Drosophila melanogaster: one gene and its partners. The gene in region 4 interacts genetically with the main gene of each other region. Each region holds a gene or a part of one and is shown on either strand. Other genes may lie near its edges. The genes, in order: jar, mwh, fy and kermit.

Region 1 (7,886 bases), on a different chromosome or scaffold from region 4:
TTGTCTCGCGGCGTAACTTTAAGATATGTGAAAAGAAGATGATCTACGATCAATTGATTTGGATGAGGAAACTTGTGAGGAAAATTATAAATAATTGGGGAAAACTGAAGCAAAGCGTTGGCAATTAAATGTTATGAGAAAATTTCAATTTGTAACCCCATATGATTTGATTTTATTGAATCTCTATCAATTTAAACCCATCTCAGTTTATGGATTTTCTTGCAGTTGGCATACAAAGTTGAGAAACGCTTTTGTTATCTAACCCATTACCATATTTTCTGACTGGCTCTGCTCGGTGACCCATTTCTTTTGAGAGCCCTTTTGGAATAGCATATTTGTGCCACTTCCCGGTATAAACAAAACCCGAAACAAAGAGTAGGAAAACGAGAAGAGCAAAAAATAATATTGCAAGCGAAACAATTGCCATCATTTCATAACGAAAAAAAAAACAGCTCGTATGCCATTCTACAACGGTGGAAAACCAAAACATCTCAGACACAAAGGAAAATTAAAGCAAAGTCAAAACGAGACGGCGAAACCACGAAAATTGTGTAATAATTGCGACACTTTCCTGGGTTACAACCCATGAACAACTGGAGGCAATTTGAGGCCAAAAGCGCTGAGAAAGAAGCTCAACTCGCAGCCCGTTAGCGAATCGTTCAGTTTTGTGTGGATGAGCATTTCATCGGAATCCAATGGACATTGTTGGCCAGATTGGCATTGTTCAGCCAGAACCGATCTCCTATGAGCCCAAAAACCAGTTGCGTTCGCCATTCCGGCCAGTTCCTTGACCATCTTCCGATATCAATATCAAGTTCAACCAGTCAAGGCGGGCTGCTCACGTGATCCAGGAGCCCGGGAACCGGGTCCGCGAGGATGGAGGCACAGGGACGCGCTAACGGTGCGACAGGTTCAGGTTCGTATTCGGCATCGCGATTGTGCAGCGCGGGGGCTACAAAAGTCAACAGTGCACTGATCAAAAATTTACTAACTTTATTCAATAAGTTTAAAAAGAAGTTTAATCAGAAGTCAACATAAAAAGGGGGTAAGCTGATGTGATGGTAAATAGGTGACCCCAATCAAGTGCAAAGGTGACCCAGACATATGTGAATATACATAATAAAAAGTATCTATATATTATTACCCACATTCTGAAGATGATAATGGAAATTGAATATCATCTCGATAGACACTCCATATTATTCCCGATTTAAGTAGCTGCCTTTCCCTAACTGTAGCGACTGCACGGATTTAGAAGCCATCCGCTGGGCAACCAGTTGAACTTGTTTTAGCCACAGATTTTGCAGCTGCCAGTAGCCACTACCAAATGGGTTCAGAGTGATGAGTCACTCGGGCTAAATGGTCCAACTTGGCCCATCCGAATAGCCCAAAAAAAAACAAAAAAAAAAAAATGTGGGGGGAAAATTGGTCGAAAAGCAATTACACTTGCAACAATAGAAGTTGCAGCTGTAAAATTTATGGCCCGAACGTCACAGGAACAAGAGTTTGCTTCGCTTAACCGAAAGCGGGAAACGCAACGGTGACGGGGCCAGAGTTCACTGTACCGTAAAGCGTTGGCAAGCAAAACGCTGAGCATGCGCAAAAGTCACAACCGAAACAAGTTTTTCGTAGCGTTTTGTTTTTCAATCTTTCTCTGTTATTTTTGCCATCCCTGTCCGATTTTGTTTTTAATTTTTTTTTTCGTATTTTAGTTTAGTTTAAAGTTTTTCATATGCCCCACAAATGCCGAGTCGAGTGCTTTCAGTTGCAGTGCGGGTTCAACGACTTGGAATTGTTAAAAAAAAAAGATGAAGCGTAGAGAAGGGGGATTATGTAAGGCGAAGAAATGACTGTCGATAGTTAAACGTCGAGCAAGTGGAACCAATTAATGCGGACCAGTCAAAAGAAATCCGAAAAAGCCGGAAAACTACCGACAATTGAAAAGCGTTTTTTTTTTTTCCTGTGAGCCAAACGGCAATTAACGCTGCTCGTTTCCTACAATTCGGAGATGCAATTAAAATGCAAATGCTAACCGCTGGCTATCCCACATCCAGACCCAGACCCAGATCCGAATCCCATTTCCATTCCCATTGCCATTGCCATTAACCAAGTCATTTTACAGACGTTGATGGATTTGTGTGACGACCCTATAACTCATTTTCCACGACACATGTTCACAGATTTTCCATATGGTGTGGACCTGCAAGTCGTTACTTTGCACTTGGCGGATATGTGAGCATGGGGGAAAAAAGCATGGATCACTTCGTTTATTTTGGGTCACATTGGGGGCTTTGTGTTAGCCAGCCTTTGTTTTTTTGGGCGGCCTGTGTGTGGTGTTCCCAAATATGTGTTATCGTTTCACACTTAATCTTATCTCAGTTCCCCAGCACAATTACCCGTTTGACGCTAGGCAGAAAAATAAATAGCAGGTAAATATAATTCAGTTTCGTTGTAATGAGAATAATATAACCAAATTTATTGGCCACACAACTAGCAAATTGCAGAAAGTCGAGCCTCTTTCCCATCGAAAACTATAGCTATGCAAATCTATTTTCAGTCCCTTTGTTTTAAATGATTGTTTAACGATTGAAAAGTTATAAATAGACTGACAGTCATTAATCAAACGAAAGTAAAATTTTTTGACAAAAAAGTTGCAGATTATGGGATTATGGATTATGAATTTAAATGTTACTGTAACTATAAAAATGGTCGTATCATTATCATCATACATGATTCACATTAGTTAAGTGGTTGAAGTTTAAGCTTGAAATAATTTATTTATTTAGTGTTTAAAAATGAGTGCTATCTTATCATATTTACAACTGTATTCCGAATATATAGTTTGAATCACCGTTGATATATTTTTGAACAGGAAACTGAAACGGAACTTTCATTGCATATATTGATCCAATATTTTATAAGCACGTGTTGCGTTGGACAAACCAAAAAAAACTAATGTACATGAATAAAACAAGAGGGGCATGTACATAAAAAATCCATCAACGATGCCACGATAGAAGCAAAATACAACTGGAATTATGCTAATCGACTATCAAAACAAAAGCTGCAATTAAACCACACACTCTGGCTGACTTTCACTGCGAATCTTTGAACAATCGTCGGCCGTTTCAGTGTTTCTCTTTTTGTATTATATGCAAATTGGTCTAACGCATCTCGAGCCCAACTGCTGGCCACTCCAAAAAGATTGGTTTGCCTCCATTCGAGAAACTTTGGGCTACATATCTGTATAACCCGTCGAAGGTTCCATATAATTCATATAGGCAGCTGTCGGCGCTGACAATGGACGGCAATGGAGATCAGGATTGTGATCCTGCGATCCTGTCAGCTGTGTGGCGCGTGTTGGGAATTGCTTGCCACCCGGCGAGGGGGAGGTCACGTCGGTTTGAAAGGGGGTTGAACGGGGCTTGAGTGACAGCCAGCACAGGGACAACAACAGGACTTCCTCCAGTGCACCGCAAAGGATCTCGAATTATATGGAATTATATGCGCGACACCCTTGTGCGAATATTAGGTGAAATGATACAGTGATACCTCAATAAATCCATCAAATATTTATTATAAAGTAAAATGTCTTGGTTAAAGGGAAATGCAAATAGGTAAGTTAGTTTTAGCACCCATATAAACATTCTTGTTTGTTTCTAGCCACCGATTCCCGTGAACAAGGACAACATTCCTCACCCCCCCAGAGAAATATAGATACCCTGGCCACATGAAAGGGTATCGACGAACCCGTTTAATTGGCTTTAAAGTGTTCAGAATAGGTTGGGCACGTCTGCAAACATGGACACGCATGCGCAGGAGCGGCGTCCACATCCCTGCTCCTCCAGCTCCTACTCTGCCCCTATTTTCCACATAAATAAACGAAATGTGCCTCGAATGGGAAATCAGACGGCCAGTCAGTCGATCGGGGAGAACGACACTTGTGTCCCTGGTTGACAGGGAAGGGAGGGGGGTGTGGCTCCAAGAAATGTTTGCTCATTTCCGCACTCAATTAAAATGGTCGGGACACAAAACTATCTTTGAGTTTGCTTTAAAAACACAACAACAACAACTGTGAACTGACGACGTTGACATGGGCCCCTGTCTATAAATAGAATTATGTACATACACACACATATGGACACATGGAATAGGGTGCATGGTTGTGGGTGCGGGATGTGGATGAGGATGCGTGGTAGGAGGACAGCTGTGGGAATTGCAGGAATGGTGGTGACATTTGCTGTTGCGACTGCGCACTCCTTTTGTTCGATTTACGGTCACGTTTTCTGTTTGAACCTCCTGTTCTATAGAGAACTAATAATATTGGAGGGCAAACAAAACAAATATGAGTCATGGTTAGAATAAGTTTACCAAAGCCAGAAAAGAGCTAAATTCTATGTAACTACTTGGTATAGAAATTAATAAAATGTAATGATTAATTGTACTTTGGTTTAGTTTATGTGCAAAAAACGATTCCCAGTTGAAAGTACTCATATGTAGGGTGCAGTCACTTCCGCGATTGCTAATCGATTTCTTGTTTGCAACACTGGCATATTGTACATAGGTAACCAATTTTCGTGGACAAGAATGTGCCAATGTCAGGCGGAAAGGCGAAAAGCGCAAGTCAACAGAAAGCAAAAGGCAGCAAATCCGCCTTCACAGGTGACCACCACTCGCTGTCAGGCGGTTATCCCCTTACCCCTATTCCTCCAGAGAGATATTGGCCACTTACCTTAAGACGGCTGGAAATCTGTACGTGCGTAAGTTACTGGCAAATGGGGATTATGTTTCCGGGGACGCACACGAACACATTGATGAAGGCGCAATCCACTTGGAATCGATCTCCTGCGTGGATTTTGTTTGGTTCGAATTTAGAACTTGCAATTTATAGCCACGATACACTATTTCCAAAAGTTTGTAACACTTGAAGTATTTTCAGCTGGGTGTTGTGTTTGTTTGCCTCGGTTTTAACAGTTTAGATTTAAGATTCAAGCGGCGATCGGAAGGCGACCAGCACGAGCGTCTCGAATCGCGTACCGTCGCGTTGGAGAGTCGAGTCGAACTGAAATCAAATCCACAACAATCCACTTTTGGATTTTCGACTTCGAAAAGCAACGGCACCGAAACAACAACAAGCACGCGCAAAACAGCTGACCGCTAGAGGTGCCACCACCGCTGCCGATAGTTAGGGCGCAAAATCTGCCCTGCAGTGTGACCAGAGATTAGTTTTGGCGCTAATTTTAAATATGCGTTACTTTTCAAATCCATAATGGTTAGATGGGTTTTTAAGATACTCATTTTCGTAGATGCAGTAGTTTTTACTTATCCTATTTGTGTAGCCAGTTCTAAACTTAAAGCTTGGAATATGGTAATTTAAGATGCACCGCATATCAGTATATATAAACAGTATACTCTTCAAAAAGATTCACCGCTGATCGTGCTGTTTTTAAGTTTAATTATGAAAGATGCAAACGAAAATGGCCAAGTTTGAATGGAATGGGTTAAGAATGCGGTGTTATCGAGTGGTTCACTCTTCTGCAACACCTGCATCACGACTGGTCCACAGTCGCAGTGGTTTATCCGTCAGAATGTTGGATAGTGTTGTACTCAGTTCTCAGTACTATACTATAATTATTTCAGCAAAGCAAGAAGATTTGGCAACTTTTCAAAATATAGATTTCGATGGCTGCACAACGGTGCGTTCTCATATTCTTGTTCCCTATATATTTTAAGTTTAGTGACGTGGAGCAGGACAATTGGTTCCCACATACCGCCCGTACTCTTTGTAAAAGTTCCAAGAGGGGTTGTTTAATGAATAAAAAGTGAGGTGACTAATTATTTTCCTGTCCTTAACTTTACCAGCTACCACCACCACCTGGATGCATTCTGGGGATCAAATATTCCGCCAGCCTTTGTTGCAAATATTTAGATAAATAACACTAGCGAATGAACGAGAAACGAGTGTGAAATAGGAGCCATTGTATCGTACGATTTTCCGTCTTTGATTTTTCGCTCTCATAATGGGTCAGCGCCCCGCTTATTAATTGAGCTCAATCAGGAGCGTCTTTATTAATTGTCGCAGGGGTATATTGTGTTTTACTAACTATAGTAAGTTATAAGTTATAAGTAAGTATGGTTGAACCCTTCTAACTTTGTAATACTAGATTTCAAAGTTGAAGTTACTTGGTGTACTTGCTTAACTATAAGATATAATTTTCTAATGAAACTAAGTTCTTTTAGCTGATGAAAACTGGTATCTCAACGAACAAGAATGGGTATCTCTTAGTCGCTAGACTCAACTGCGACCATTTCTTTGTATTTTTGCAATACCCGCTTAATTGTCTGTCTGTCGCAGCGCAGCTCAATTGGAAGTGAAAGAGAGCGCGTAGGTCTGAGTGATCGTGATCGCCTGATTGACAAACGACTGCCATCGGATGAGGCATTCGAGTTTCCACTTACCTGGCTTACCTGGCTGCAAGCGGCTGTGCAAATGGAAATTGGTAGAGGCTTTCCCCGTAAGTGGCCGGGGATCGGTGTAATTTGCTACCAAAAACGACTAGGGGTGGCTCCGTACCATGTTAGTCATATCTCCACCTTCTCCTCGTCCGCCTGAAGTGGTTGTATCTGGGTATTGCTATCTTGGTATTAGAGACCCGCTCTCCCGATTCCATATCGATTCCACTGAGAGTGCGCATGCAGCCGGCGTTTGTTTGCCGTTCTTCTTTTCGCATATAACATAAACAGTCGGATATATCCGAGCACCAGAGAGGGTCGGATATATAGCCGCCTTTGCTGTTGTCCCTGTCGGTTGGCATGAGCTATTGTTTTTGGCTTCGGTTTGGTCTTGGTTTGGTTTGGATAGTCAGTTCGGTTTCGTTGGCCTGAGGTGACGCATCTAGATAGCGGGTTGCCGGTTTCTTTCGCGAAGTGCCCTTGTTTTTCCACCGCGGTTTCACTTCCTCTCCCTGGCCAACATATTTGGGCAACACGTGTTGGCCGATAATTGCCGGAACCGAGACGGAGAATTCTCGCTCTCCCTCTCTCTAGGGAGCAAAGTACACGTCACAACGGAGCAGAGAGTCCACTCTATTTCTCGGAAACTTGCGAGTGCGTCGACATCACGAGATTGTGCCAAAAAAGCATAGCGTTTCCGATTTGGTGTTTTATTATACCGGCGCCACTCGACGAAGTCAGTTGCGCGAACGGAATCTAATATTTAGATTCGTGGACTCTGGACAAAAGTGTTGAGTGTGCAGTTTAGCCATGGGCTACGATGAGGCCATCATCCATCTGGGTGATTTTGGACGCTATCAGAAGATCATCTACTTTCTCATCTGCCTAACATCCATACCAGTTGCCTTCCACAAGCTGGCCGGGGTGTTCCTGCTGGCCAAACCGGACTTCCGGTGCGCCCTGCCCTTCGAGAATGGAAGTAGCTACGACTTGCCCACCCACCTGTGGAACCTATCGTATCCGGAGAATGAAAGGTGCTCCTACTACGATGTGGATTACACGGAGGAGTACCTGAATGGCAGCATTCCACGGAGCAGCAACGAAACCAAGACCTGTTCCAGCTACGTTTACGATCGGAGCAAGTACCTCAATAGTGCGGTGACCGAGTGGAACCTGGTTTGTGGCAGGGATTTCATGGCAGCTACCAGTGATTCGCTCTTCATGCTGGGCGTGCTTCTGGGCAGCATTGTGTTTGGTCAACTGAGCGATAAGTACGGAAGAAAACCCATCCTCTTCGCCTCACTGGTCATCCAGGTGCTGTTCGGTGTTCTGGCTGGAGTGGCTCCGGAATATTTCACCTACACGTTCGCCAGGCTGATGGTGGGAGCCACCACTTCCGGAGTTTTCCTCGTGGCCTATGTGGTGGCCATGGA
Region 2 (7,878 bases), on a different chromosome or scaffold from region 4:
CCAACGACTCGTTTAATTCGCACCGACATCATCCGTTGAACCACCAGGATGCGATTGGTGGCTTCCTGGGCATGGACACCAGTGGATTGGGTGGCAATAGTGCACCTGTGACCATTGGAGCCAGCACAGATCTGCTGGCACCCAATACAGCTGCCACGCGACGTCGTCGCAAGTTGCCGGAAATACCGAAAAACAAGAAATGTAAGTTTATTGAAAACTTAGTTCCTGGCTAGAGTATCCTGCATGCAAGTAGTTTCAGGGGCTATGCCGGTTTTCAAAACTAGTATTTGGTTTTCCACAACACATCTATTCGTCATATCCTATTTTGGGAGCCGGATAGTCCTTCTTAACATCCCTTCGTAGTTTCGGGCTAACCCACTCATGGCCTCGTTGCAGCTTCCATTCTGCATCTTCTAGGTGGCTCCAACTTTGGCTCCCTGGCGGATGAGTTCCGCAACGGTGGTGGTGGAGGAATCCCTCCAGCAGTTCGCAGTGGACAACAGCGCTCATTTCTGTCCCTCAAATGCGGCTACTTGATGGACGAGGACTCCAGTCCGGATTCGGAAAGGATGCAGAGTCTGGGCGACGTGGACAGTGGTCACAGCACGGCGCATTCGCCCAACGACTTTAAGAGCATGTCGCCGCAGATCACGTCTCCCGTTTCGCAGTCCCCCTTTCCGCCTCCCTTTGGGGGCGTGCCCTTTGGCCAGCTGGAGATGCTGGAGGCCACTCACCGTGGTCTGCACAAGTTTGTGCCGCGGCACCACGACGAGATCGAGCTGGAGATCGGCGACGCCATCTACGTGCAAAAGGAGGCCGAGGACCTGTGGTGCGAGGGTGTGAATCTCCGCACCGGAAGGCAGGGCATCTTCCCCTCGGCCTACGCCGTGGACCTGGACTACAACGAGTTCGATCCCACAGTGCAGCTGGTGAAGAAGGAGCGCTATCTGCTGGGCTACCTCGGATCCGTGGAGACGCTGGCGCACAAGGGCACCGGAGTCGTTTGCCAGGCGGTGCGCAAGATTGTCGGGGAGTACGGCAACTCACCGACCGGACAGACGTGCATCCTGGAGGTTTCCGACCAGGGACTTCGCATGGTGGATCGATCGGGCCCGAATGTGAGTAGGATACATACATATATACATCTTCATTAATAACCGATATAAAAACCGATTTCGTGAAACAGCAAAACAAAAAGGACAAGAAACCTTGCATCGACTACTTCTACTCCCTGAAGAACGTCTCCTTCTGCGCATTTCACCCTCGCGATCACCGCTTCATTGGCTTCATCACCAAACATCCCACGGTTCAGCGGTTCGCCTGCCACGTCTTCAAGGGCTCGGAGTCGACCAGACCGGTGGCCGAGGCAGTGGGGTGAGTCCTCAAGCAGTCATCCCCCCAAAACAAACGCTCGAATAACATGTTAACACTCCTTCTTTCAGCCGTGCTTTCCAGCGATTCTATCAGAAATTCATTGAAACCGCTTATCCCATCGAGGACATCTACATTGAGTAGGCTTGCAAGGCGGTTTGTGCATTAATCAATACGATATATTTTTTGTGCGGTTATTACGAATAAAAGCAAAGATAAGTCTCAAGAATATTTGCTCTTCTTCAAAGAGAATCTCAAAGCAAAATCAATAAGCTCGCAATAGAAACCCTAGCTATAGATTATTATCATTTATCCGTTTTGAACAAATGTGCAAGATCTTAGACATGTAAATAGTTAGTTAACTTTCGTTCAAAATCCCCACTTCACACTCACACTCACACTGAGCTTCAAGCAATCAGCAATAGTTGCCCCCTCTATAGGAACCGCCTTTAAACTCGAGTTCACTGGATATATGGACAGAAGCAAAAGAACACCTTGAACACCTTGAATTTTGTATCGGGAGTCAGTTGGGTCAGTTGGGTCTATTGTAAATCGGAGATAAGCAATTTGGATTGGTTATAGATATCCAGACCCTCCTGTAACCACATCCTTAACCTGGCAATGCACAAAATAGAGTGAGGCCAAAGTAATTTAGCGATCTTCGTGTAACCTTAGTTTAGTTATGCCAATCTTTCAGTTACCAGAGACTCAACAATATCGAACACCAGCTGCTACGTTTTGAAGTATTCTCAATTAAAGCCCAGTATAAGATGTGTAAACCTTTAAAGTTGTGTACACGCAGGCGAATATATACTGTATATGTATACAAAAGAAATATATAAAGAACCTATAAATCAAACTATATTGGATTATTGGGTGCTCAAGGAAGAAAGGTGAGTTTTATTAGTAAGAGAATGTAAGCCCTTTCATCTTATATTGTAGAACTTACCCAAAAGTATGCACTTAAGCTCAATTTATAGCAAGTTGATAGAATCCCGAAATGATGGTAGATAATATTTAGCAGCCTAAAAGATAACTTATAATTTGTAAAGTAAATTATTTTACACATAAAACATGTGAGTTTATCTCTCGCGGGAAATGAATTGGTGATTTGCATAAAATTACACGACAAGACAAGATAATACTAATCGGCTATATGAAGGCAATGGCCAATTGCAGTTTAGTTTTAAGATTAACTTGTGATGACTTGTTTTGAGCGGGCCATGGAATGGAATGATGGCCCAGAAGTTCCCATTCGGATTCCACATTAGTTTTATTTCACCGCACATTTACCAATGCGGATCTACGCCGGAAAAAGAAACAATCGCACATTAATGAAAACGCCCAGGGAGTGGAGAATAAATGGCCGAGCCATTAAAATGGCGATACATCAGTTAGCCTGGGGGCATCAATCATTATGCAATTTTCGCGAAGCCGGCCAGCAGCTTTGGGCCACTTTCTTCGGAGGTGGTTCAGTGAACGGGTTGTGGCGGTGGGCCTGGTCGGATCTGCCTTTGGGCAAAGTGCTCTAACAGGAGCAGCGACTAAGACTAACTAGTTCGTGTCGCTTTTAATGGAAATGGATACCCGAAGTAGCCTTGGCAGCGACTTTGGCTGGGTTTCGGTGTGGGAACTGGTTTCGGGGTTGGGAAAATCGCGCGGCACTCGCTTGATGCACTTGTCGACGTGCCCGGCCTCTTAACTCTATCGCAAATGTGGCCAATTAGAGATTAAACGACAATTTCAATTTAAAAACGCTTGTAAAACAGACCAGCCGAAAAGCCAACCTGATTTTCCTGAGCTGCCAGTGGCGGCAATGGACTTGTCAAACCGATTCGATATCTAGAGGGGATTGCCGATGCGTTTTAGCAGTCTCTAAATCAGTCAGTAATAAAAAAAATTGAGCTTCTGATTATTCTAGTACATTTTTAAATTCTCTATATCGTAAATTATAAAAGTACTATGCTATGTTCCTACTATCTATCGAATACGCATGCTATTATTCATATATATATTTTTTTTAATACTTATTTAATTAGGACACTCCCTTTATTAATTTACCTTGTGCAAACTGACAGAACTTCATTGCATAGATAGCTTCTGAAGCCGAAGCTCTCGGATAGTGACATCTTATCCAAGGGCTACCGATTCTCGAAGTGCATGAATGGATAGAACCGAAGCTCGTGGAAATCCCCCAAACAAGTTCGCTATCTACGCGCCTGAAGAGCAGCAGCTCCATGTGGAAAGCCACTCCGACCAGCAGCGGCAGTCGAGCCATCTGATCGCGGACTTCATTCAGTCTGCAACTCGCGTTTCAGCCAAGCAGACGCGGCTTAGAGCACAGTTAAAGCCAGGCCAAAACCGAAACTATAGCCAAAAGCCAAACGCGAAGCTAAAGTCGACGAGCTGGCGAAGTGAAGATCGGTAGAGTGGAGTAAATCAAACCGAGGCAGCTAATAAAAAGTGCTAATGGTGTGTTTAAAATATGAATAAACCGAGTATGCCTGAGCCACAAAAACGGTTACAACAACAACCAATGCCACAACCACAACGGTAACAATAACAAAAAGAGATTTTCTTTTTCGTGGGACGAAGAAATCGCATTTGCATTTCACCGCGCTGTTTGGTAGATTAAATTGGATCAAATCGAATCGATGGAAGTTCGGTGTTTGTTTGTGTGCTCGTCGCGGCCAAAAGTGTTGCTACTTTCATAAAAAGGTTATAAGAATCTGGAATAGTGAATAAATAAATGCAAATATTGGAGACCCGTTAAGCAGAGCCGCGGAAGAACGAACAATAGGATTTTGAGGGAGAGTCACCCGGCGTGAGTGGGTAAGTCAGTCAGTCTGTCTGTCTGTCCAAGTTCTGTGCGTCCATCTATCATGCCTTCACTACGATTTGTAACTGTCACAACAAACGGGTTGTTTTGGTTCAGCACTCCCGCCCGGCCAGTTGGGGAAATCCATAGGATCGTTTTACTGGCTGAATTCACCAATGCATTCGCTGTGTGCTCTGCATGGATCAAAGTTATTAAATAATTAATGACCAGCGGTGCAAAAAGAAAAACACAGATTGCTGCATGTTTGGGGCATTATTTACGGCCTGCTTAGCTAGACGTCCGTATCGCAGCTCTCATTAGGCCAAGCATGAAGCTCCAGAACACCCATCCCAGCCTCCCATCGCAGGTGCTATCCGGCCAGCTGGCTATACAGATCATTTAGCCATCGATTTGCATCTCGAAGAAAGCGGCTCGGTGGCTCTAATTTTTGGCAATTACATAAACCCCATGCCCTCGAGGGCCTGTTCCACAAATGATGCGGCTCCAACGAGCCATGAGCCACACTTTGGTAATCTGAGAAAACCAGACAGAAACCGAAACCATTTTCTCGAAGACGTTTATTTTTGGCAGGAACAAATGAGCAGATGAAGATCAATCTCTGCCCAACTGATCGGTCGCCACGGGTCTGTCCACACGGATCACTCTTTCGGCCACGTTCAGATAGGCCTCGTACTCCACAATGTCCGGCGTGGTGTCGTAGTGATAGTGGCCTCCCCAGTTTGCAAAGGAAAACGAGTGGAAGTGCTGCAGGCGGAGGTCCAGTCCCATGTCCTTGGTCACCAAGGTGCCCACTGCGTTTAGCTGGGCGGGCATTTCGTAGAACTTCAACCAGTTTTGGATCTGTTCCTGTGTGTGGATGGGCGTCTTGCTAAAATCTCGCATTACGTGCTGGTGGACACATCCCCTCCTGACCACGAACATTCCTCCCAAGCCCACCACCTGGTCTCCGTAGTGCCGTTCCAGACCCTTGCGAATGCATTCTACAAAGTTTTCCCCTCCAGTGCGCTGTTTTGCGGAAATTCGGAGCACTTGACCTGGTTTTCCCTCGCTGAGGAAGAGGTTCAGGATCAGAGCAGCACGAGATTCGGTTTCGGGAATCCTTTCGAGAACACAATCCTCATTCGCTCCCCTCACAGTGGCCGTGTAGCTTCCTTGAGTGAGTTCATCCTCTTCGTTTAGCGAGAAATTAAAGATCCCCTCGCAATTGGAGTGACGAATGGGCCACGGACCTGCTCCCGGTCCAACTGCAAAGATCTTTCCTGCTCCTTGGGTCCGCCGAGTGATCTCCTTCAGATTGTAGAGCTTATCTCGCTGCACCAAGGGCCGCAAATAGGGTGGCCCTCCTGCTTCTAGGAGAGTGGCCTTTCCGCCCAGTCCACGCTCCACAAGGCCAAACTGGGAGTCCCTTAAATCCGGGCAAGCTTCCACACTGACATCTACGGTCCGAAAGTTCTCATCCAGAGCACCCTGTATGACTGGAGAGCAGGTGGAAAGCTTTATTTGACGTATCCGCTAGATGAGAACTATTTTTATCAGCTATTCCACGCGGGAGTGCTCACCTCTTTTCAGTTCCGAGAGGGGCGGCACATGGAGTGGCCTCTCCTCAAAGAGCAACTGCTCCGTTTGAAGGTGACTCCCGTTCATGGTATCTCTGCAAATATTTCGGTACGGGTTCAGGGCCTTTCCTTGCTGGAGGTAAACTAGCGACTGACCGAAGCACCATCGTTTGGTAAAAATGTCTGTCATTCGAACGCCTGTCATGATAATGTTCTACTGATACAGGGCTTCCAATTTATAAAAGTATGTGGTTTTCTGGTTTGAGTTTCTATTAAATATACTATTTATAATGACCTGTTTTCAAAATAACAAAGTACTAACCTAGAGAAGTAATTTTAGATTTTGTAAATTTGGTTGGCCAGCTAGCTGATAAGCTATTTTAGTATTTGTTAAGCCTGACAGGGATTTGAGCAGATAAAAAGACTGTTTCTGTTTTCGAGCTTATGTTTTGTTTATTTACTATTATTTATTGGGGGTTGGGGCAATGGAAAAGTCGGCTACAACTAGATACGGCAGATAAGATCTAGTCGCGTCCCACTTTGTGAGTGGCCACGGGCTTATCCACCCGCACCACCCGTTCGGCTACGTTCAGGTAGGCCTCGTACTCAACGATATCCGGCGTGGTGTCGTAATGGTAGTGACCGCCCCAGTTGCTGAAGGAGAAGGAGTGGAAGTGCTGCAGGCGAAGGTCCAGGTCGTGCTCCTTGGTCACCAGCGTGCCCACGGCGTTCAGCTGGGCGGGCATCTCGTAGAACTTGAGCCACTCGTTCACCTCCTCGTCGCTGTTGATGGGCGTCTTGCTGAAGTCCCGCATCACGTGCTGGTGGGCAGCGCCCTTCTTGATCAGAAAAATGCCACCCAGACCCACCACCTTGTCCCCGTAGTGGTTCTCCAGGCCCTTGCGGATGCACTCGATGAAGTTCTGTTCGCCAGTGCGCTGCTTGGCGGTGATTTTCAACACCTGACCAGGCTTGCCCTGGCTGAGGAAGAGGTTGAGAAGCAGGGCGCACCTGGGCTCTGTGTGGGGTATCTTCTCCAGGACGCACTCCTCCTGCTCTCCCCTCACAGTGGCCGTGTAGCTGCCGTTCGTGAGCTCATCCTTCTCGTTCACGGACAAGTTGAAGATGCCCTCGCAGTTGGATCCCCGGATGGGCCAAGGTCCCGCTCCGGCGCCCACGGCGAACACCGTGCCGGGGCCCTGGATCTTTCGCGTGATCTCGGCGATGTTGTACAGCTTATCTCGCTGCACGAGGGGCAGCAGAAAGGGTGGGCCTCCCGCCTCCAGCAGCGTGGGCTTGCCGCCCAGTCCACTCTCCACCAGGCCGAACTGCTTGGCCTTCAGATCCGGACAAGGGCCCACACTGACATTCACATTGGCGAAGTTGGCCGCCAGGGCACCCTGTATAACTGTGAGAGAGGTAGGGTAACCATTAGAGCTTTATCTCGACCTCCATCTAGACGAGATATGGCAAAAGCTGAGCAAAAGCTCCACCGCCAATCATATGTTTCTGTTTCTGTTTGAGATTTGCTCAATGAAAACAGCAAACAAAAAACACAGAACGTAGAACCCACCGAAAACCGGCTGTGGAAAGTTCGGCACCGTTCTGCTGAAGGTCATTTGCACATGGCACGTATTGTTATCTGCGGGATCGCTGGGAAATCCAACTCGACTCACCGTTCTGCAACTCTGACAATGGGGGCACGTACAGCGGCTTCTCCTCGAAGAGCAGTTGCTCCGTACTCAGTTGGTTCTGGCTCATTTTGGTTGGAGATGTGTCCTAGTTACTTTGCTCCTTATTGCGATTCTGGCCTCGTTCCGATTCAGGTTTGGATTCCTTTCTCTAGCCCACCAAGTATTCTAGTCGCGCTGAGGCTACCTACCGCTCGCTAGATCGTTGCAAACACGACTGTCTGCTGAAACCAGATGGGGTCTCGTTTTTTAAAGTTGAGTGCTCGGCTCCCGGTTTGCCCTATAGTTAACATTGCTGGTACGGCCGGTCGGCACAGGGTGCATCCGCCGATAAGATAAACTCTTGTGCCGTATTTAGTTTAATTAGAGTCGAGATCGAGTTCTTAAGGTTCCTGCGGGGAGGTGGAGCGATCCATCAGCT
Region 3 (7,066 bases), on a different chromosome or scaffold from region 4:
CCATCGTGCGTTTCGTGCATAAATTCGAAGAGTTTGTTTACCACCGTCTTGAGGAACTTCCAATGGGCGCGCAGGAAGCGTGGATACTGTCCCACCACATACATGATATTGGAGGCAATAATGGCCTTGTTGTCCTTGCCCTTCTTCTGTTCGCACAGGCCTAATAGATCCTTGATCACGGTGACCAGGAACCGTTTTTCGTCCTCTTCACAAAAAGCACCTGAAGAGTGATAAAAGCACAAAAAAAAATAGGGTTATACTCGGAAATAATGGTGGTCCATGATAATCAGGAATGAATGTTTGTGATTTATAAAAACCAAGTACAGACTGGGAATAAAACACCAAAAATGGCTCACCGGATATGGAACCAATGGCCCAGCACAACGTGTTCAGGTTCTTCCAAGAGAATTCCGATCCGTTCACCTGATTAAGCAGCTTTAGCGTCATGATGCGGTCCGTGTCCACAGAGTCCAAATGGGTAAGAAAGACCAGCGTTTCGCGCATGTTCTTGTACAGGTTTATTGAGTTTGTGTCCTTCATGAACTCGCGCACCACTTCCCCGTTTTCGTTCTCCACCACCAGCACCTCCTCCGGCTTGGCCATGCGCGAGATCATAATGAATCGCACTTTGGACAGGATGGGGGCGTAGAAACGTCGACGGGGATACACTTGTTGCCTCTTTGTAGACTCCAGGGTGGGGTGGAAGAATTCCGAATTGTATAGATCCTCCACAAGGCTGTTCCAGTATTCCAGACAGATCTTGAATACTTCCACGTCCTCCACCTCGCTAATCATCACCAAATACATGAGCGCCTGATTCAGGTAGTCCACATACTTGGCATCCTCCACCAGTTTGCCGTGCTCCTTGAGGAAGGTGCACAGGAACATGGCCAAATTAAGGACCAGCTCCTGCTCTGTGTCGGAACCATGCTTAAACACATGGTTCATGTTCATATTCTGGCCGACTATCTGTTCCAACTGAACCATCGTGTCCTTGAAGAGCGTCGCGAAATTCTCGTCGTAGTTTGCCGCAGTCAGGCCGGCGATCTCGGACAGACACTTCAGGGTCACATTGCGGAACATGGGTACGCTAAGGAATTTGAATATCAGCGTTTCAATTTGCTGCGTTTCAAAGATGTAGCCCAGCGGTATCCAGTTAAGGAACCTCAGCAGAGTCTCCAGCGTGACATGGATTAGGGCGGCATTCATCGAGTTCTCCAGCACGAAGGAGCATAGTGTAAAGATCTGAGAGAACTCCGAGCACATGGTGTCTTTCAGGTGCTTGGCCTTAGTCTGCGTGATCTGACCCTGCGAAAAGTCGAACACCTCCTCACTAAGGTTCTTCAGGATTACCATGTTGTTCATGCACAGGCTCTCGTTCGTTTTCGACGCACCGACAATGTCACTGATGAATGTCTCCCAGTTGCGTGGCCATTCGCGCTTTAGAATGTGGACCAGAATCATGTTTAGCTTATTCAGATACACTTTGTTCTGCTCCATAACAATGGGATCCGACGAGGTCTTGATGATAAGACTGACCACATACTTCTTGATTCCCTCGCACTGGTTGCGCGGCAGGACCTTCCAGCGCGTTTTGATGACCTCCTCGAGGATTTGCAGAGCATAAAACTTGGTCCGCTGGTTCTGTGAGTACTCCAATATGCTGTCCACCCGCGTCCATGCCTCTGGATGCTCCTTCAGCGTGGTCAGTATGCTCTGGGCTAGACGCAACTGCTCGCCCTGCGCTGTGTACACAACCTCGACGATCTTGTCCAGCAGATTAATGTCCAGCTTCTGGGAGAAGTCGAGCAGCTTGCCCGCCTCGTCCGATGTCAACATTGTCGCCATCGCTTTGTAGTAGAAGCGGCGTTCGCGTCGGCGTCGCTCTGCAGTTGTGTCCGCGTTAATTTTGATAGCTTCTTGGCTTCCTCCTCCGCCGGATGAGCTCGGATCTCACGTTTTTTCCCTTTGGATTTCTTGTTTTTGCTGTTTTTTTTTTCCACTTTATTTATCGAAAGTGCGCGGCGGCTTCTGCTTCAGCTTCTTCTTCTTCGCACTATGATGACGGTGAGGAGCGGCGACTCTCGATCTGGATCGGGATCTGGATCTGGTGCCGGGACTGGACCTGAAGCTGTGGAAATAAGACCGTTGGTTATACATATTGCGTACTTTTACGCCTGTCGACAGGCAACCATATTTCTTTTTTGTTTTCTTGTTTCATTTTTTTGGAACACACAACTACAAGCGCACGCTGTTGCCTGCGCGCGCTACACTTTTTCGCACTCGCACACATACAAGCGCTCGGCACACCACACATACGCACACACTGGCACAGGCGAACGCATCGCCGCCGCAAATGCGACAAGACTGCGGCGGCATTTCCCAAATTTTCTTAGCTTTTCAAAACGCGCCAGCGAGGACGCAGTGTGTAATTAATTAACAATCATGAACATGTAATTCACATATCAAGCTTACCTTTTACCGATTCCAGAAAAGAGCAGCGTGTGAAAACGACGACGACGGACAATGCGAAATGCAATTTGTGAGAACAGTGTGCCCGTATGGTGCTGAACAAACATACGTCCACAGCCCTGGTCTACAGGCATGCACGCAAAGTGATCGATAACGTTGATCGAATAAAATAATCAAATGGCATGGATGAAGATGCTTAGTTTGTTGGCTTACTTACTGCCAGAAACATCGATGTCCCTGATATCGAAAAACATCGATGTTTTAAGCAGCGATGTTTTAAAAAAAAATACAAAAAAATATTATCTGTTTAATTTAATGGAAAAACAAACCAGTATGCATGCATGCATAAATTGACATAAATATATTTGAATTTGATCTGTTCTCCTGAATCAGCTACAAAATACTGCATCTTACTGATTTATTACATTAAAACACTAAAAGTATGCAAGTAATTCAGATAAAAGTTTAAAATAAATCATATTAATTTACTAGTGCATCGCTTATTTTCGATAATTCAAAACGAATCGATTTAATCGATGTAAGCATCATACGTAGCAGGTTCGGCGAAGAAGAAGAGCTGCGATGTCCATCTATTTGTTATGTTTGACAACAAACGGCGGATTGCCAGTGTTTACACGAAAGAAGGGAGAATGCGAAAATGTAAGAGTAACATATTGCCTACCTATTCACTTAGTTAATACCCTTTCTCCATATCCAGCTGCCCTTCTCGACGGTGGCCTCCTTAAACGGCTTTCACATGTTCTTTAAGTCGCTGGGAATCCAACTGGAGGCCACGACGACCAGCAAACAGCAGCCTATCCAGAATCAGGCTCCCGCGGATGCCGAGGAGTGGACTTACATATGGCGCGACCGGGAATCCATCACCCTGATCGTGTGCGGCTGCGGTGTTGGGTCGGAGCAACTGCTTCAGACGCTGGCTGATCTTGTCTTTGGAGCGATAGGCATGTTCATTACCCGGGCCGCAGAAATGGCACATGCAACGCTCCTCGATAGACTGAAGAAGGACGCCAAGAAGTATGTCCCGATTGTTGACGCTATTCTGGAAGCCGCCTGTGCGGGTACACAACTCCTGGGCTACACGGACTGTCTGCTGGCGGCGGAAAACGCCCAGCTGCTGCAGTGTCTAAATGAATTTAGTGGCCACTGTGGCTCGCTCTTTTGCTGCCTGGTTGTGGGACACCGTATCGCTGTGGCCACTGAGGGCTGGTGGGATCTGGACACTCGGGACCGCGAGCTGCTGCTGTTTCTGTTGAATTCGTCGAGCACAATGCAACACGATGTGCCGGTCTATTTGCCCGTGAAAAGTCCCCATATAGCCTACCGCTTTGTCAGTATTCCTGTGGCGTCGAACAGTGCTCTGTGTGTCCTGTGTGGCGCTGAGAATGCCTCGTTCCGAGAGTTGCATGCACATGCCATGAGTGCCTACCGGAATGAAGGCAACCTTTTGGCAGCCGCCGAGCGATGCGTGCCGCGCAGTCTGCCCGAGCATCTGGAGATCGATGGAAATGTGCTGGCCATCATTCTAATTAACCGACACACGCGAAAAAGTCTCTTTACCAGAAATCTAAACCAGTCGGCGAGTGTCAAGCGCATCATTGTGGGCGATCTACAGCGCTTGGACATTCTAAAGAAGTTTTTCGATCAAACTATGGATGCAGTCCACCAATTTGAAACCCAGTCGTCCAGCAATAAAACTACGTTAGTGGACCAATATAGCTGCTCGGACTACCACAAGTGCTATGCCCATATGGATGAGCTGGGCAATGTCATATTCTTGTTGTTTGTGGCAGCGGTGCCCTCGCACGCAATGAGGTGCGATTATAATTATTTACTTTGATGACAAGGTTTTAAAATCAGTATTGTATTTACAGATTCCTTGCGCAACGCATCCATGCTAATATACTCCAGGAGAAGTCAGTATGTTGGTGATACGATATTTCTTTCTAAGCCTAAAGACTGATTTTTGTTACTACTTTTCCATGAAATAATGTTTTTTTTTAAATGACATTATATTTAACGAACAATAGGGTACAACTCCTTTTCTAAAGTTAAGCGTAATTTTTGACAAATCTTATATGTATATGCTACATACTAATATGGCTTTAATGACTTACAATTCCGTCCTTACAAATACTATTTATATATTTTAAATATACAATATGTCCTTATCCTTTTATTACAACATTGTATGGGCGACAATAGACCAGTTGTTTCTTGTTTAGCTCTAAGGGCTTTATCCTTGGATCCAGAAAAAATTGTACTATAGATCCAACTGTAAGTTGTGTGGTTTCTCCTTTTGGAGGAAGAATATTGAAACTACGTCCATTATCGGAAGCCACTAGGGCAATGGTAACACCATACTGGTTTGTAACAGACAAAATTTTAGCCGTGTGAGTGGCTGCATGGTTTTTAAGTTGACGCTGATCCATTCTTACTTTTTTGAGGACTTTACGGAACTCCTCAGCATAGCCTCCTTTAACACAGCGAGGGTTTGCCTTCAAATTGACTCTATTTTGGCTACTTGGCAGATACTGCCTAGGACTTTCACTAGGAACAAGTTGAATAGCTGGAGAAGATTCGGTATAGCTATCCTCGGTCAATCCAGAGCAGTTAGATTTATTCAGCGAGCTTTGACTTAACGATTTCCAAGAAGTTTGGAATGAAGACGTTGGCAATCGTTGAGGAGTAGGTGGATCAGAGTCAATGTTCTCTGACGACCCGTTGCAGGAAGCGGTTTGGTTAATTAATGATTTCCAAGAACTTTGGAATAAAGAGCTTGTCTCACGTCCTTCATATGAAACTGAGGGAGGAGTTCTTGGGGAAATCTGGATAGCAAGGGGCAATGCTTTTGCTCTTCGTCTCGTTCCTGGCCAACTGGTGTTCAGAAGCTGGGAACATGATGAGAAACTGGAGTTTCCTAGAGAATCGGGTTGACTGCTGCTGCTGCCGGACTTGTTTAGCGTCTGCCACATTGTCTGAAACCTGGAAGGAGTGTTCTTTTGATGATTTGATGTGGATTCCGCCAAAAAACTCCTTTGATTCGCTTTTGGAATATTAAAGTCCGTTGGTGTAAACAGCCGCTTTTTCTTTGGACCATTGCCATCCGGGCTGTTCTCCTGCTGATCGGATTCATCCAAAAGGAATCTAAGCCTACGCTTGGAGCCCATATTTCTATAGAAGAACTACATTATATTTATATTTATTTAGCCGCGAATGGAAGCCAGTGTAACCACACCAAAGGGACTGGGTATAAAAAGTAATCGAATAATCGATAAGCAGAGCGAAAAATTATTGGTGCCAATAATATTTTTCAAAATTTGAAAGGCAACTTCAATAATATTTATTATGTCATAAGACTTGGCGAACTATAATCCTTTATTAATTGATAAATTTATTTCTATAATATTGTATAAAATAACTAACAATGGTTTTTCCTTTTAAAATAAATTCTATACGAACTGCGTATAGAGATATGCATTTTTTTTTTACATTTTTTCAATTAACGCTTTGCTGGTCAATGATTTGTTTTTATAGCGATTACGTTTTCATGAATGATTAAACGATAATGAAACTGACCACAACAAAGTCTTATCACGGATTGTTACTTGTCGATAGAGATTCATTGAAGGCAACCGCCTATTTTCCATTTCTTTTGTTATGAATGGCATATTTATAAAGTGTATTTATGGGCTTTCCTCGCCAGCGGATTTCGGCCTGCTGCTCGTCGTTTACGTTTGCCAACGATGGTTCCCAGCCCCGAAACAGTGCCCAACTGGAGGAGCAGAGGATTGCTGACCAGGGCAGCGGCGATACCAAGAACTGCAGCACTGGCCAACGGGATGAGAAAGCTTTTGGCCAGCAGTGCTTTGGAGGACACGTCGCCGTAGCCGGGACCCTTGTGCGCGGCTATCTCGTGGTGATCCAGAGGATACGGATACGCATATTCGGGCGGTGAATAATGGCCATGTCCAACAGCGTGACCCGGTCGCGATCCATACACATCGAAGGGAATACCAGCCTCTACACTAGAACTGCCGAAAAAGGCGCCACTTGCAGCTCCGCCTGCTAGACCAGCTCCTCCTATTCCACCTCCTCCGCTGCCGTGGGAGTACTCGTAGGGATACGGGTGGGAATTGCTTTCAAAGCTGCCCACATTCGGTGCATGCGATGCCTCTACTCCTGCGGCTCCATAAGGACCTTTTTTTTGTTGAAAAATTAATTAGTTGTAGAATTTAAACTATTCTTCTGGTTATTTGTTTCTAATGACTCACCCACACTGATGCGATCCTGGAGATTTGCACCTCCAGCTCGCCATCTATTGTAGGTATCACTTAGACTTTCGCCCACACTTCCCAGAGAGGGATGACCGCTGGAACTGATGGGAGTGTTGTTTTCTAATCCCCCTTCTGAGCCTGGACCCCTGTAGAATTCGGGCGGTGGCTCGAAGCTCTTGGCGATGGCCGAACCAGCCAGGTCCAATTGGTTTCCCGACCGCTGGCTGACCGCTTCATATTGGGCACTTGCATTTTGGGCCACCGCGAGACTCGTCCAAAAGATAAGGCCAATTGCGATC
Region 4 (7,555 bases):
CTTTGGAACTGAGCTGTTTCTGAGTCTACGCCGCTCATCCGGTTTATACATTTTAATAAAAATTTTCTTAGATTATTATTTTAGAAGGACTATTTTCAAATACATCATAATAAAGATAAAGTAAATGCAGTAATGGGAATGGTCAGATGTCAGTTCTTTAAAAAAATTAGTTGATTCAATTCCATGCTAAGTTGGGAGATAATCGATTAGCCAAAGGCTCGGAATTTTAAAATCCTAAACTGATCCTTTGGATTCGTAGGAGATTCCAGTCACCACATGGATATGCTTTTTCGGAAGTTGCATTTTAATAAATAACTAATTTTAAACATTAAAACTGCACTGCACGCACATACAAGACAACATTGCGTATACGTGATTATGAGTTACATTTTTAGGATCAGTACGTAGAAAGCAAATATTTTGAGGGGATTTATGTTTCAAAACATAGGATTGTGTTTTAATGCAATATGAATGATTATTAAACTGTAACATAATAAAACTAATATTCTATTTATAATAATTATATTATGCTTGCATTTTGTACATTGAGTTTCAAGGAAAATGGATTTCGTAATCAATTAGTAAACTAATATATTTCCAATAATTATATTATTAAATTATATTTCATTTGTATAGTTCGCAGCAAAATGGCCTATTGCACCTTTTGACCTTTTTGCACCTTCGGGCGTAAGTTTCTATCTTGCGATTACTGAATTTCGTATTAATAAGACATCTTTGGTCGAAATGATATGCAATTTGAATGCGATTAAAGATCTATTCCTGACATGAGACCAATAATAATGCCCATTAGCTAAATGAGCACATTGATGTCTCTATACATTTGTTTTTTAGAAAACTGTGTTCTGAATGCTCACTGAGTACTTTCGTACGCTCTCAGGGTGCGCTTCGTCACTACGTGAACGGGCGTCTACATCGATTAGATGATAAGTGAGGAAGACTGGAATGCCTAGATCGACTTGGCTAGTTATCCGGCTAAAAGCAAAAAATGAAGAGTGGCCCATGAGGGGATCGAACCCGCGACCTTCGCGTTATTAGCACGACGCTCTAACCAACTGAGCTAATGGGCCTTCGTGAGAGCGGCGTTCTGGGTTATCAATTTGGATTGGGGGTGCTTCTCTAAACACTCATATCGCTACTTATTTAAAGTCCGAATAAAGTGGATGTTATCTATGTATATACTGATTACCTTTTTGTATTCCAGCCTATTGGGTTATAAACAAATAGAAATATGTGTGAATATAAAATATAAAACAATTCGATTACAATTTTCAATTTCTTGGAAAGCGTGTTGCATGTTTTTTTATTCTTATCAGCAAAAAAGAAATGTAATAAGAAAGCCTGCTGAGACCACTTATTGCAATATCAGTCTTCGGCAAGTAGTCTTCTGAATCGGACAATGGAGTGCCACTAGACCATAGGAGTGCTTCTCCTGAGCTGGTTGGTTTGTGGCCACGCCTGTTATTATCCAAAACGATGTTTGGCCAACGATGGGAGTGCACCAAACCGGCGATTGGCATCGACCGACTAATGTATTCTGTGGACCCACTTAAGTGTGTTGTGAAATAAGGGCTCAAGTAAGTGAAATAAGAGCTCAAGTAAGTGCACTACAGGTTCACAGAGTTTGTACGCAGCTTGTATCCATTCTACCCCTACTACACCAGATGGAGAATCCGTCCCTGTCCTCGTTCTTTGGAGGAGGTTCCCTGATTGCCCCTGAGGTTGTACTAACGGCAGCCCACCTGTTGTTGTCTATACCTGGAGTCTACATTTGCATTTAAAAATGACATACAGCCCATCTGCTTACCTCTTCAAGGGTCGTCCATTGAGCAGACACACTGTGTGATTTCCGGATGGGGAAAGCGTTCTTTTAACGACTCTCAAATGTCGAGTATACAAAAGCAAATCGAGTTACCCATAGTAAACAAAGGAGATTGCCAGAATATGTTGAGGAAAACCAGGTTTCAGCTTGCCACCAGTCTCATATGTGTCAGCGGACAGAAGGACAAGGATGTCTGCGTTGGTGACGGTGGGTCCATCTTGGTTTGTTCCCCTGACGCAATCTTCGCTAGATATCACCAGGTCGGGATCGTGGCCTGGGGCGTCGATTGCGGCAGGCCAAACGTTTCCTCGACCTTCAAAAATGTGTCCATGTTCAGGAAGTGGATTGATCGCAACTTTCCAAGCAACTCGGTGGAACCGCTTAGGAACTGTATTCCTATCCACCCAAGAATTTCGTCCTATAAAATGAGATACATGTTGCTTTAAATCACCAAACTTAGCTAATGTAATTACATATATTGTATCAAATATATGTATTTATGAAATTAAATTATCAAACGGAGTCGATTTTAACCACCTGCTGAACTTCAGGTTAAATTATTTTTAAATTGAAGCTTAAGTCTTGGGTATAAATATTTATCAACTAAATTGTTATTTTTTGGTCGAGGAATGTCATAATATTGGGTGCAAGAGTTTTTTCTCTTAGACTACCATTCTGCTGATTGAAAGTATAATATATATCATTAGTCAAATGCAGTATGAGATATTTACCCCAGGAAATAAGCACATTTGTTTGATTTGTTCTTGTGTTCATTTCATTTCTTCATTTTCATTACAGTGACCTTATTAAGATTTTAATTTTTTATCCGTCTACAATTAGTCTTATTGTTGCTGGTTTTATATTTTCTTAACCAAAATAGTGGAGGCTAGTCAATGCTATACAAACTTGTCACGAAAACTTAAGTTCCTTTAAATCTGGTAAGTGCACCTTAACCGCCAAAATTTCAAACTCACCGAAAATGTTAAGCCACAAGTACTCAATAGGCCGATTGTCAGCATCGATGGCGGCATCGATGTTTCCCCACCGCGAACAGAGTGGCTGGCCACACTGGCGCTCAGCTGGCGCTCAGCTGGCGCAGTTGTTGTTATTCTTGCATTTCTACAGCGCGAGGTCCGAATTTTCGAGCGCAGCGCGGCCACAATTTTCCGGGCGTTAGTTAACCGAGACGACTAGTTTAATTAGCGGAATTGTGCGACGACGTCGTGGTTGAAATTCAATTTGAACGCCCAGGCGGTAGATCGGTAAAATCGCGACATCAAAGCACGAGAGTGAGTGAAAAGAGAACCCTGGAAAGTGGTCAATGTGTGTGTATTTGGCGAGCAGTGGCGGAGCACTGAAAAAACCAGTTAGCTGGCAGTGAAAGAGATTCAATAACGTGTTGGTGGGCAAAAGAAGAACAAATTGTTTCGAGTGTGCGAGGCGACGACGACGACATCCAACTGGTCCGGTACGAAGAAGTCCGCTTTCCTCGCTCATTAGCGGCGCTTTCCTCGGGCCCACGATCTGGAAGTCTGGAAATCGGCGATACCTAAAACCGGGCCATAGCCACCACTATCATTATCAACAAATTGATATACATATGCAATTGCAGCAGCGCGTCATCAGCACAGCGCCCATCGCCTAGCAGGTGCGTTCCGTACCGTCCGTCACTTTCGACATTATATTGGTCTGATCGGGTTTCTCTCTCTCTCTGGTGCGTGGTATCTTCTATGTATATACTATAACTATGCATACTATATATGCTCCGTAACAACACACTGCATTGTCTTTCGGGAATTGTTAACACCCCGCCCCGGTGGTGGAGCATCTTTGGCATCCATTCAGTCGGTTGCCCATTCATTTGCCTAACAGACTCTTTTCTGCGCCAACCGACGAACAAGTAAAGTGAAAGGCGGCGGCACGCGTTTTCCCATCTTTTGTATTGAATTTCGCTTCGGCAGCGAGGAAAGCGAAATCGTTCTTAGTCATCAGGACGTGTGGTGAGAGGAGGAGGGTGGGCCAAATCAACATGCAACCGCCTGGCAACAGGCAATGCGTCACAAAAAAACAAGGAATTTCAATTTCCAAGCTGGGATTACTAGTTAACTAAAGCAGACTGTAGTGCAGGGGAAGGTGGTGTTACCGGGGTAGAAATTGAAGGAAATCAAAGGCGATCGATAAAATAATAATATCGATAAACAACATTTGATGAGACGAAAGAAAAGATTCGTGGTTCAAGTTGTTTTACTTTCAGCCAGGCATTTTTAAAAACTTGGATGCATTTAAAACCGGCAAGACAGGCCAAAACGCTGTTGACCCACGGACCTTATCGATTTTTGCAGCTGCTGGGCGGCTAATCATTGGTTTTGTGGCGTGACAAGTGTTTCGGCACCACACCCACTGTCTGTATGTCAGAGGAAAAAAGCGTAAGCGGAAGTGATTTCATAGACCGAAACTCACCCCGAAAACTGAAACGCTGAAAGGGGCATTTCCGTGCTTTGTGGCCATTGCCTGCCCCAAGTCGCTAGTTCATTTTCCGCTATTATGTTGAGGTTAGGACTTTCCAAATCCATGTGATTTCCCAGGGTGCCGGCTTCTGTGCGTCGTCGCAAAAATATGCTGCACTTCGGGGGTGCAAACAGCATGCTTTTCGTTTTCGTTGAAGTTTCACGGCCGAATTGATTTTTCCAGCCTAGACATTACAAAATGCCTCGCCGAAGTGGCGATAATAAAGCGCCTTTTCAGTTTTGCAGCCAGCACGCACATCGGGGCATTTATTACCGCTTTTCCGTTTTCCCTCTTACAAAACTGTGAAGTTAATGCGGCCAGCACGTGGGTCTACGCACTGAGTTTTCCGTTCCTCAGTTTTCATCTGGCCAAGCACTTCTCAGCTGGCCGCCGAAAAGAAAGGGGCAACGAAAGACGCAACCATGACCAAAGAAACTCAAAACTCCAAACTTGAGCAATTTGTAGGCAAATTAAGGTGTTAACTAACCGTGAAGTTGGTCAGTGGGAAACCCATCGAAGATGCTCTAGCTTAAAGCTCATACAGAGCAATAAACAAGTGTTTCTTTGAAGATCTTCGATCTGCTCTTATAATCTTAGATAAGAAACTAGCAAAGTTGAACTTAACTGAGGCAGATAAGTATCTCTAGGTTTAACGAGTTATGATTTCTGGCATATTTCTCGCTGTGTATTTTCGGCAGACGAGCAGCTCGGAAATTGTTTGATCGATTCGATTCCTTCGTCCGCTTCCGCTCCGCCGCTATCGGCTGTTGCCTTTTACCCGCCCATTCGCCACTTGCTAACAGTTGTTTTCGTACGTGAGCAGCGCTCGGATAGGCAGATACTCCCCGTCAGATACACAAGATAGCTTCCTCTTCTGCCTGGATGCGATGCACTGTGTCCGCTCCGCGCTCTCCGTTCTCCAGCTCACCAAGCGGAAGCAACTCCATTTATGTAAATTGCTTGCGTGACATTTCAATGCGACGGGGCGCTTTATGAAAAGCTGGAGCGGCATGGTCCGAGCGGGATGAGCGGTGGCTGGGAATAATGGGTTGAAGAATCGTGGGTCTGGTCTGGTCTGGTAGCTAGGGCTGCCACGGGCTGCTCCGTCATGCCAACAGTTGGCAATCAGTTTAACTGTGCTTTTTATGGCCGTACTTTGCGCTTTTTATGCGCACTCATTGCCGCACATGTGCAATATTACTGCACTAACGTTTTTGCAATCAGTATCAGATGTACTCGGAACTGGTGTGAATGAATCTGCATGTTTTCCATCTGCGTGATGTTTCTACTCCGCTTTAATTATCCACAGTTCCTCAGTCGTTTCATATCATTAATACATGATTGGGCACAGCGATCAATCTTTTTGCACACTAAATACTTGTCTTTGCCTACAATCAGAAGTAATAGAAAGATCGGATTTTATTGTTTATCAGATACAAAAACTGGCGCTTATGTACATATATCTACAATTATTGTTTTTTTTTGCCACTTCCAGTTTTAATTATCCCGAATTTCCGCTCCGATTTCATCACCCGTAATTTGTGAACTGATGAAAACAATACAGCCTTCGGATTAACATATTTTGGAGAAACGTTACAAAGAGATAAAATTCATATTTGAGTTTAGATTGTCGGGCGGCGTAAACTTGGCCCAAAACAAACATTGCCACGGCTTTTCGGCTATAATTCGTTTGCTTAATTTGCTTTTTCGAGCTCGCAGTTCAGCGAGGTGAAACGGTTAAATGTTTTCAAAACTGCCCCAATGTTTTCCCTTCGCCATACGTAGATACTTAGATACATATGTATATACATACTTGACGTTGCGTGTGGTGCTCATTGTTGTTTGGCTGTGCATTATGCTAACTAGACCCTAATGTCGGTGCCCGGGTGTTTTGAGTGCTCCACATTAGTAGTTTTTGTGGAATATGCCCCATAAAGGGCCATTCGATATGTTTCAGCCAGGGCTGCGAGTTCATTGCACTGGATCATCGAATCGTGGAGCAACGACTCTGGTTCGGGACCATGCCAAATGCAAAATGTCAGCAATTTATGAATAATGTAGTGAGAAACACAGGAATCGCAGAAAACGTGATCGGAAAATGCCACAAAAACAGTGCATAAATAATACCAACATATAATTGGGCAGGGCGAAGCGACATTTAAGCTTTCGCTTCGCCCACAGTCCATCTGAATTATCTGTGGAAATAGCAAATTGGATACTTGTTTATATTAGCAGTGGGTCGGGTCTTCGTTCGCCAACTACAATCTTCGGTTTGTTTGTAATTTAGACTAACCGCTCGATGTCACTGTTTATTTATGCATTAGCATCACGACACAGGGAGATATTTTTATATATTGTCTTTCTAAGGTTTCAAGCTCGAATAAGCGATTATTACCTACAACACTGATTAAAATGTCATAAATATAAAGGCAAAACTTAAGTGATTTATATTAGTATACATAATATATGAATGTCAAAACTGATGGCTGTTCCACTGGAAATCAATAGAAATGGGGAAAGTAAATCTCTCTTCGAATACGCCAGATATTATTACATATTCATTTTATAATTATATTATAAATTTTGCATTTTTCTTAACCAAACGGACAACAATAAAGTTTAAACTGGATTAATAAAACGAACAGCTTTAAACTGAAATTTCAGTTTGAATATGTTTAACCTATGCTGAGTATTTTTCCAGTGCAGCGTTTTCTTCGATTTCATTAGATATGGCAAGCTCAATTTTCTGCTTGTCTCAGTGCCTTTGCCCACAAAATGTTGACTTTTCGAATTAAGTTTCACCGTTAGCAAAGATCATGCGGTCTTTCGCTGGATTCTCGCCTTTCGGCAGCGCTGCCGGCGATTTTCGCATTGAGTCGAAAAAATTGACCTAGTCAACGAAATGGAGATCTCCCCAACTGATAACTAGTTTGAAGAGCTTTTGCAAGCTTTACAAAAGCTTTTGCGCTCTCTTTGCAAAGAGAAAATGCTCTTAAAAATCAAAACTATTTTCTCTTGCGCTCTCTGCACCTCTAGTTTTGGCATTGGAATACACTACTTTTGGTTTTGTGGATACTACAAACAAACATTGAAAATAACTATAACCAACCTTTGGGTTCCCAAGGTTTACGAACAATCAAAACCTATACTTTGGGGATGACTGTTGAGCACAGATGTACGAAGTGGAATGGCGATGGGTACTTAAAT

What was found.
Region 1: of kermit (region 4) and jar, changing one suppresses a phenotype caused by changing the other (phenotypic suppression), as found in Drosophila melanogaster (2 studies listed by BioGRID).
Region 2: of kermit (region 4) and mwh, changing one enhances a phenotype caused by changing the other (phenotypic enhancement), as found in Drosophila melanogaster (one study listed by BioGRID).
Region 3: of kermit (region 4) and fy, changing one enhances a phenotype caused by changing the other (phenotypic enhancement), as found in Drosophila melanogaster (one study listed by BioGRID).

What each region holds. Positions count from the first base shown.
Region 1 is NT_033777.3:24,266,167-24,274,052, forward strand, and holds the start of jar (jaguar), read right to left. Parts: upstream 5,068-7,886; 5' UTR 4,733-5,067; intron 1-4,732. Other genes in the region: Orct2 (organic cation transporter 2), read left to right, coding at 7,264-7,886. UniProt on the Drosophila melanogaster protein: Myosin is a protein that binds to actin and has ATPase activity that is activated by actin. Together CLIP-190 and jar may coordinate the interaction between the actin and microtubule cytoskeleton.
Region 2 is NT_037436.4:1,197,113-1,204,990, forward strand, and holds the start of mwh (multiple wing hairs), read left to right. Parts: upstream 1-3,673; 5' UTR 3,674-4,203; intron 4,204-4,758; exon of another isoform or gene 4,759-4,801; coding exon of another isoform or gene 4,802-5,685; intron 5,686-5,769; coding exon of another isoform or gene 5,770-5,854; exon of another isoform or gene 5,855-5,924; intron 5,925-6,203; exon of another isoform or gene 6,204-6,290; coding exon of another isoform or gene 6,291-7,174; intron 7,175-7,442; coding exon of another isoform or gene 7,443-7,527; exon of another isoform or gene 7,528-7,683; intron 7,684-7,878. Other genes in the region: Aplip1 (APPL-interacting protein 1), read left to right, coding at 1-201, 397-1,118, 1,187-1,374, 1,443-1,515; meep, read right to left, coding at 4,802-5,685, 5,770-5,854; CG9119 (uncharacterized protein), read right to left, coding at 6,291-7,174, 7,443-7,527.
Region 3 is NT_033779.5:8,399,070-8,406,135, reverse strand, and holds fy (fuzzy), read left to right. Parts: upstream 1-2,855; 5' UTR 2,856-3,054; coding exon 3,055-3,132; intron 3,133-3,190; coding exon 3,191-4,305; intron 4,306-4,364; coding exon 4,365-4,422; 3' UTR 4,423-4,658; downstream 4,659-7,066. Other genes in the region: emb (embargoed), read right to left, coding at 1-220, 357-1,848; CG31898 (uncharacterized protein), read right to left, coding at 4,659-5,660; CG13386 (uncharacterized protein), read right to left, coding at 6,164-6,690, 6,765-7,066. UniProt on the Drosophila melanogaster protein: Plays a role in the organization of cell polarity via a planar cell polarity (PCP) cascade. Involved in the development of the hairs on the wings.
Region 4 is NT_033778.4:8,151,988-8,159,542, reverse strand, and holds the start of kermit (kermit), read left to right. Parts: upstream 1-2,888; 5' UTR 2,889-3,129; exon of another isoform or gene 3,130-3,488; intron 3,489-7,555.